Linked DNA regions of Caenorhabditis elegans. The protein of the gene in region 2 interacts with the protein of the main gene of each other region in a pairwise test. Each region holds a gene or a part of one and is shown on either strand. Other genes may lie near its edges.

Region 1 (3,798 bases), on a different chromosome or scaffold from region 2:
CTTTTAGTTTTGTCTTTATCTTTTATTTTTCAACCTATGGGTTTTTGTATTCTCACTGAATTTCGGGTCTTTCAAAACTTTTTTACTTTATTTTATTGAATGTTGTGTGTCATTGGGTTTTTCAATTTCTTTTGTCGTTGTGAATGTTTCATATATCAGTTTTGTTGGGCACAAACTTAAGTTAACTTCCATTCAAAAAAAAACCTTCAAATTGAGAAAATCGTAATTGCAAGCTGTGTAGATTTACTGTAAACAACACACACATCCGGAATAACGGAGTGTCGTAGTTTATTTTCATTTTTTCGAATTTCGTTTTGTTTTAACAATTATATTTTTCTTCTAAATTCCTTAAGAGCGTTTCAATTTTTTTTTGTTGAAAATTGTCATGACTAGCATCTAACTCAGGGAAATTTAAAAAAATTTCTATAACTTGAAAATTCGCTTTGCATTGAGCCCTGACCAAAACAAGTCACCCTCTCAGCTGCTCATTTTCTTATTTTCGTCGCGAGAACGCAAACAAGGATAAACTTGACCAAAAAACACGTTTGTTTACCATGCAAGCTTTGTTTTTTGGTCCGAAATTGGTTTTTAATACGTAAATATGTACCCATAAATACTGAATAAAAGTATCAAAATTAATTCGAGAGACATTTTTTTTTACTTTCAATTTCCGAAGTAGATTAACGAAATTTCGTAATAGTTTGGTCACATTGTGATACGTAGCTGTATTAGTGTTCGTCTGGGTCTCTTCTTTTATAACTATAATAACCAACTTGAACATTTTTATTTCAGGACCGCTAACTTCGTCCTACTGCTCTCCATCGACTTCATGATTCAAATCCCAATCATCAATCGATAATTGCTCTCGTTCGCCTTATTTCCCAATTCTTCCCATTTCCGCTTCGTATCATACCTACTGAATTTTCTTATCAATATACTTGGGAACTGTCTTATTCTATGTGTGATAATATTGCCTTTATTCGCCTTCCTCATCATAATTTAGTCAACTTCTTCCATTGAAATTGAACAAAATACTAGCTGCTGTAGTCTTCACCTTTTTCTCTCTTCATTCTAGAATCACTTGATTCTCACTCAGTGAGCCTTGTCCCACCACAGTCTCTGTCGTCTCTTTCTCTAATCGAGAGGGTCAACGTGTCATGGGAGGCACCCGAGAACGACATAGAAGAGGGGGAAGGCCATTGGGTTGTAAACATGTGATTCTTCGATCGATTCTATCTTTTTTTCGTACATTTTTTGTCGTTTTCATTTACCCGTCTTTGGCTTTCCCCCCTTCTAGATATTTATTTTATTTATTGCACCATACTAAATTCTAGATCATATTTTCTAAACCAGTCCTTGTGACTTTTTGGGCAGTGTGGGAAAATCAGGAGTTTTTCATCAGTCACTTGTTTTCCTGTTTTGATTTTTGCGTCAAATTATTTATGTCGCGATCCATATTTTTCCGAATTTACATGTTAGCCCCAGTCTTCCAACTTTTGTTTCCTTCTATCAAAATGCTCTTCCCGTCTTGGAATTTTTCGAAGTTTAGGGTATTTTTTATTGATTTCTGTTTCACTTCTAATCCTCCCACACTTCGCGATTTTTAAATATTTTTCTGGTAATGAACTCATGTTTTCATTTTTGTCAAAATTCAGATAAAATCAGACAAGATGCAGATCAAAGATGATCACGACGACGCAGGTTCTCAGTCGGAAGACAACGGAGTTCCAATTTACGATTCATTGGAAAGCTTGCTATTTGTAAGATTTTTTTTAAAGTTTCAATAATACGGTACTGGGTATTTTGTAAAATTCCAGCGGGTGTGCGCCTTTAAAGAGTACTGTAATTTCAAACTTTTGCTGCTGCGGATTTTTACTCGACTTTTCATTGTTTTTTTCCCTAAAAAAATTGTTTTCAATAAACTAAAACAATGAAAACACAAACATTTTCAAAAAATTGCGAGAAAACTATGAAAAGTCGATGAAAATTCCAAGCCACTATACTTCGAACCTACTGTACTCTTTAAAGGCGCACATCCGGTTGTATTTAACAAAAATTGTCGTATCGAGACCGGGTACCGCATCTTTCCACAAAAAATTCCCGTCTTCGTAATATAATTATTAATGAATTTAGATTCCAAGGTCAATGTCAAAAGAATTGAGTGAAACAGCATTGCGTACACAGTTTTTATTGGACAAATGGAGCAATAATCGAAGAAAAATTGTCAGACAAATGGAAGGAATTGCTGAGAAGGTATGTACTTTAATGCGAGATTTTAATCAAAATGAATTTTAAAATTTTTAATTTCAGCTGGATAATTGGGAGAAAGGATGTGCAATTTCAACAGCTGTCGGAAGTACCGTTGGTATTGCATCTGGAATTGCAGTTATTGGAGGACTTATCTTGATGCCACCAGTTGCAATTGCTGGTCTCATCGTTGGAACAGCTTCAGGAGTTTCCAATTTGGCGACAGGCATCACGAAATTTTTTCATACAAAAGGGCAGCACAAAGAAGTAGCTGCAATGATTGCAGAAGACGGTGTACTTTTTGAAGAACTTCTGAAATCAAGAGAAGAACTTATGGAAGCTGTTCGGAAAATTGTTGAAGATGAGGAATTCTTTAAACATTTCAAAAACGACGGGGACATTGAAAATAAGCTGAAAACTGTGTTCGGTGGATCAGTTACTGGAATAACTGGAATTGGAACTAGATTTGCAATTACTTCGATGGTAAGCTCTTTTTATTATTTTTTTCATCAATATTATTTATTTTCCAGGGTCGCCTCTCCTCTTCTCTTGTCAAAGGAGTTCTTCACAGTGTAGCTGTAATTGGAATCGTTCTAGACAGTGTCACATTGGCGTTGAGCGCCAAGGTACAACAATTAATTTGAAATTTTCAAAATAAAATATACAAATTTCAGACTCTTGGAGAAGGATCCGTGTCGGAACTTGGATCTTCTATTTTAGAAGCATCTTCCAAAATGGAAATGATGCGCCAAAAAGTGGTAAAACACTTTTTGAATGAAGACGTCTGGAAAGACGATGATGACGTCCTCTCCGATGTTGGTTCTATTGAAATGGTGCAGCCAGAATCTCCAAATCAGTCACTGATAATGGATCCACATCAACAAGAATCATCTGTACAACATTAATATCGGGATTTTGAATTTTTCTGGGTTTCACTACTGTTTTGTTGTTATTTTGCGAAAGTTTCATGCGAATAAATAAAATAAATTCGGCACTTCAAGTGTGGGCATTGTGAAAATAACGGAAACCCGAAAATGGTAAATATCGATTAAAATCCAGAAAGAATGCGAGCTACAGTATACTCTACAGTACTAATTTAAAGGCTCAGATGTTCAATATTCCAGGTGGTCTTGAAAAGACACCTCATTGCTCAGAATAAAAATCAAAAACGAATCCGTGTTTTTAAGGAATTATTTTTTATTGTACTGTAACTTGTCTTCATTTAAATTCTTGTTTTCTTATTAAATTATTCACTATTTCAAATTCTAAATTAACTGATTCAGAGACTTATCTACAAACTGCAAAGCGATATGTCAATCTATGAATCTTTGAAAAGCACGTTGATGGTAAGATTTTTATTCAAATTCATTTTTTATAATTTATATTTCTTGTTCAGAATGGCGAAGAAATGCCAAAGGAACTCCAGGTTAAAGCCTGGGGAGCTCAATGGCACCTCGATCGTTGGAGCTCAAACCGACAAGAGATCATGAACCGAATGGAGGAGATTGCTAAAGATGTAGGTCGATAAAACATAGTTTTTCTATTTATTTT
Region 2 (4,739 bases):
TTTTGCAAGATTTGGTGATTCTGTGCATTTTTGCGTTAGATCTGGTGCCCTGACGAGAAATTGCGTACTTTTGGGGCTACAGTATCTCGGAAAATTGAAAATTAACGCTAAAAGCGCGGAAAAAAGCCGGCCGGCGGGAAAAATCACCGAGAATTCGAATTTAATGTTTAAAATTAATAAAATATTCAAATTTCGCAGTATTCTATTTTCGCTGTCAGAATTAACTGTTCAAAAATTAAGCGTTTTATTATTTAGTTCTACTTTACTTTTTGGAATGACTGGAAGTATAGACAATCTTTTATGTTTTTTGCTTTTTCTTCTTTTCTGAGACCTTGAAAATTGATTTTTCCAATTTCAGAAGTTTGGCCAGAAGTCAGAACTTTTATTCTTCCGGTCCTTTATTAACCACACAGTTTTAAAATATCTGCAGAGCCCTCTCAGCTTACACACTCTTTTCTCTTTTCTGTCGGCTTCTCCTGTTTTTAACTTATTTTCTCTCTCTTGTCTTTGTATAATTTTTCAAATTTTAGGATGCCGTCGCGTAAGCCTATCAAGGTTTCCCAGGAGGATTCCAGAGACACGACTTCCGAAGCGTCAAGAGACTCATCGAGTATATCGCCCCACCGGAGATCTAAACGCGTGTTGGAACGGTGATTTTTTTTCGATTGAAATTATTTCTAGTTTCCTATTTTCAGAAATACACTCAATTCCAACAGAGTTGCAGTCCCATCGTCCGGAAGCTCTCCTTTAGTAACGTTCGGAAGGTCTCTTTCGAAATCACAAGTGGGATCAGACCGGCACAACAAGTAAATAATTAAGTTAAAAAAATTGAGTGTTAATTTTCGATTTTCAGCGGATTTCTGGCACCTCCCCCATCTCTGCAGAGCTCTACTGGAAATAATCGCTCTTTAGAGCAGGAATTGAGACGCTCGACGAGGTAAGCTTGCTTTCATTGATTGTTAGAAACTAGCAAAAAATGTGTTCAAAAGTCTAATTATCACATTTCAGAAGATCCAACCAAGGACTCGCCAACGTGGCATCTCCGCATTCAATACCGCGAAGTCTGCCGACTTGTAAGATTTTTTAAGACGAAAAAATGTAAAGTTTTTATTTTTCAGGGGATTTTATCGTCCTCACCCAAGCCAAATGACAGCGCAGTCCTCGCGGAGCAATTTTCAAACCTCAAGAGGTGACTCACTCGACGGAGTTCTCTCCTCTTTTCGGTCTCCGAACACGCTTGATCGGTAAGAAAACAAGTTATTATGAATCACTAATTTTAAATTTCAGAACATTTATTGTTTCGACGCGTGCGTCCCACTTAACTACACCATCGGCGTCCCTTCAGAGTGCCCATACGGTCAGGATTGCAGACACGTAAGCAATAGCGGGTTTTTAATTCGAATCGATTATATTATTTGAATTTCAGCGGATTCCTTGGAGCACCAGAAATACAATCGAGTCGTAGTGGATCACGTTCTCGGTTTCCTACGGAACTGTCACTTCACACAATCCAGCCAACTCTATCGTATGAGACTGCCCCAACGGATGCTACGGCCGATCGGTAAGAAGTTTGGTTTTTCAAACTGATTTTATCAGATAAATTTCAGTGGATTTCAGACGATTTTTAAGACGTAAAAATGTAAAGTTTTTGTTTTTCAGGACGTTTGTCCAACCCAACGCCACCGAGCTCAGCGGAAACCGGAGCAGAAATCAAGCAGCCCCGACAGGTTCGAGATCAGGTTCCCGTTCGAGAACTTCAGCTGCTTCAAATGTCGGAGCTGGTCGCTCTCGGTGAGTTTGGCTTTAAACTTCTAGTTTTTCTAGTAACTTTTAGTTTTAAAAGAATTTAGGCAAAACACATTTAAAAAGTGACAGGTAGAGCGTGGAAATAAATTTTCAACAAATTCGAACTCATAAATTTCAGAGACGACTCTTCAGTTCGTACCAACGAACTTCCACCACCACAATCTGCGGCTTCTAACCATTCTCCGGGAATTCTAGATCGGTAAGAAAATAAGTTATTATGAATTTTAAAAAAAGTTTAAAATTTCAGAACATTCACGGTGTCGCCAAGCCGCAGTATTTTCTCTCGTCTACCAACCGATTCGCTCACTCTCCACACAATCCCGGCCAGAATTTCGAATTTTCCCTAATTTTCCTATTGAATATCGAGCTCAGCTCGCCTTTTTACCCCAGAAAAGCCTGTTTTAAGCAGAATTGGAAATTTTGTGCATTTTGTCGTAAATTCGGATGCCTGGACGAAAAATTGCGTACTTTTGGAGCTACAGTACCTCGGAAATTTCAAAATTAACGACAGAAACCCAGAAAAAAGGCATCGGGGGTAGAAAATGACAAGGAATTCGAATTTCCTAACGGTACAGCCGGAATTCGTCAAATTAAAGACGATAATCATGAAAAATCTACACTTTTTGCAAGACTTTGAGATTCTGTGCATTTTCGCGTAAGATACGGTGCCCGGACGAGAAATTGCGTACTTCTGGGGCTACAGTACCCCGGAAAATTCAAAATTAACGCTAGAAGCCCAGAAAAAAGCCCCCGGGGGTGAAAAATTACCGAATTCGAATTTAATGTCTAAAATTGATAAAATATTCAAATTTCGCAGTAACAATATCGAAATTGCGGAAAAAAATGAATTTCTACACCATAACTTCGCATTTTCAACGATTTTCCTATTGAAATTCGACTTCAGCGGCCTGTTTTACCCCTATCCAGCCGGTTTTCGCAAAATTTAAAAATTCTGTGCATTTTGTCGTAAGATCCGGTGCCTGGACGAAAAATTGCGTACTTTTAGGGCTACAGTACCCCGGAAAATTCAAAATTAACCATAGAAGTCCAGAAAAAAGGCTCCCGATGGTAAAAAATCACAGAGAATCCGAATTTCTCGCCGAAAACCCGCTAAAACCCTACCTAACACGACCCATCTCCTCTTCTTGTATTGCGGCAAGCTCGGCGAGCAACTCAGCGTCCTCCTCCAAATTCCCGTACATTTGATTATCAATATCATTGAAATTCATCTGGAAAATCAGGGGGGTTTTGGCTGAAAATTTTGCCTGAAATTTTTGGGAAAAAAAATACCAGAAAACTGCACGGGGAACAGTTATTGAAAATTGAGAAATTAATAAAAATGAAAAAAAAATCGATAAATTATTGATTTTTTCAAAAAAAATTAACAACAAAAAACAAAAAAACGTGTATAAAAATGCGGGAACAACAGAAAAATTAAAATTTCAAAAATTTAATTGTCCACGTGGACTCCGAGCTCTTCGAGAAGTCGTTTTCGATCGATAATTGGTTGATTTGGCTGCTGGAGATTAAAAACCACTTCCTTATTCTCTTGACAACCATCTGTTAGCTGACGAACACAGAATATCGATTGATTTCTCTGAAAATTTGGAATTTTTGGGATTTTTTAGTATTAAATTCGAATTTCCCGCAATTTTTCACATATTTAGCCTTTTTTCCCCGGGTTTCTAGCGGTAATTTTGAACATTTCGGGGGTACTGTAGCTCCAAAAGTACGCAATTTGTCGGCGGCGGGGCACCAGATCTTTCGACAAAATGCACAGAATTGGCAAATCTTGCGAAATCCGGCGATTTTGGGGTAAAAATGTGTGCTGAATCCGAATTTCAATAGGAAAATTGGGTAGGAAAATCAAGTTTAAAGCAAGTTTTGTAAAAAATTCCGGACGAAATATCGATTTTTGAGATTTTTAAGCTTGAAATTCGAATTGCCCGCCATTTTTCACATGTTCAGCCTTTTTTCTGGGCTTCTAGCGTTAAGTTTGAACTTTTTGGGGTACTGTAGCCCCAAAATTACGCAATTTGTCGTCAGAAAACCTGACCGTACGACAAAATGCACAGAAATCTAGAATCTTGCAAAATTCAGCTGAAATCAGCTGAATAGGGGTAAAAAGTGGCGCTGAGCTCGAATTTCATATGGAAAAAGCGATAAAGTTGAAATTTTACCAATTTTTTTGAAATTTCTGAGGAAATAATTGAATTCCGATAATTTTCCAAGTTTTTAGTGTGAAAATTCGAATTGCTCGTCATTTTTTACCACACTTTGGCGGTTTTCTAGGCGTTTACCGTTAATTATAAGATTTTCGGGGTACGGTAGCGCCAAAAGTACGCAATGTTCCGTCGATGCACCATATCTTACGACAAAATGCACAGAAACTTCAAAACTCGCGAAAACCGCCTAGGCAGGGGTAAAAAGGGGTGCTGAATCCGAATTTCTGAAGAAAACAGCAGAATTCTTACCAAAAATTCGAGATTTTTAATAATTTTCCACTAAAAATCGACATTTTTCAGCGAAAAACCTAGAAAATCACAATTTTCCATTGTTTTTCTATCGAAATTCGGTTTCAGCGCTCTTTTTTACCCATATCCCGACACTTTTCGCAACATTTTGAGTTTCTGTGCATTTCGTCGTAGGATCCGGTGCCCGGACGAGAAATTGCGTACTTTTGGGGCTACAGTAACCCGGAAATCTCAAAATTAACGCTAGAAGACCGGGAAAAAAGCCAAAATTGGTAGAATTGGACGGAGAATTCGAATTTGAAAGTGAAAATTTGAAATTTTTTTGGGTTTTTCAGAAAATCCATGATACCATAGTAAAGCTCTCCAAGAAATATTCAGGCCGTCTCGTGGTACATTGAAGCACTGAAATTAGTCCTTGTCGGCCATTTTGCAGCGTGGCAAGCTTATTAGAATCCGATA

Evidence for each region.
Region 1: the proteins of ccct-1 (region 2) and F07F6.8 interact in a two-hybrid assay, tested with the Caenorhabditis elegans proteins (one large-scale study listed by BioGRID).

Annotation. Positions count from the first base shown.
Region 1 is NC_003280.10:5,423,591-5,427,388, reverse strand, and holds F07F6.8 (Apolipoprotein L3-like), read left to right. Parts: upstream 1-1,655; 5' UTR 1,656-1,670; coding exon 1,671-1,760; intron 1,761-2,133; coding exon 2,134-2,253; intron 2,254-2,310; coding exon 2,311-2,730; intron 2,731-2,777; coding exon 2,778-2,873; intron 2,874-2,921; coding exon 2,922-3,152; 3' UTR 3,153-3,248; downstream 3,249-3,798. Other genes in the region: F07F6.7 (Apolipoprotein L, 1), read left to right, coding at 3,558-3,593, 3,644-3,763.
Region 2 is NC_003279.8:13,777,195-13,781,933, reverse strand, and holds the start of ccct-1 (Coiled-coil and C2 domain-containing protein 1-like), read right to left. Parts: upstream 3,040-4,739; 5' UTR 3,036-3,039; coding exon 2,929-3,035; intron 2,156-2,928; coding exon of another isoform or gene 2,054-2,155; intron 2,006-2,053; coding exon of another isoform or gene 1,925-2,005; intron 1,792-1,924; coding exon of another isoform or gene 1,660-1,791; intron 1,562-1,659; coding exon of another isoform or gene 1,427-1,561; intron 1,375-1,426; coding exon of another isoform or gene 1,288-1,374; intron 1,245-1,287; coding exon of another isoform or gene 1,119-1,244; intron 1,074-1,118; coding exon of another isoform or gene 1,009-1,073; intron 938-1,008; coding exon of another isoform or gene 854-937; intron 807-853; coding exon of another isoform or gene 696-806; intron 651-695; coding exon of another isoform or gene 532-650; intron 1-531. Other genes in the region: Y37H9A.1 (Copper transport protein 86), read right to left, coding at 3,257-3,403, 4,630-4,739.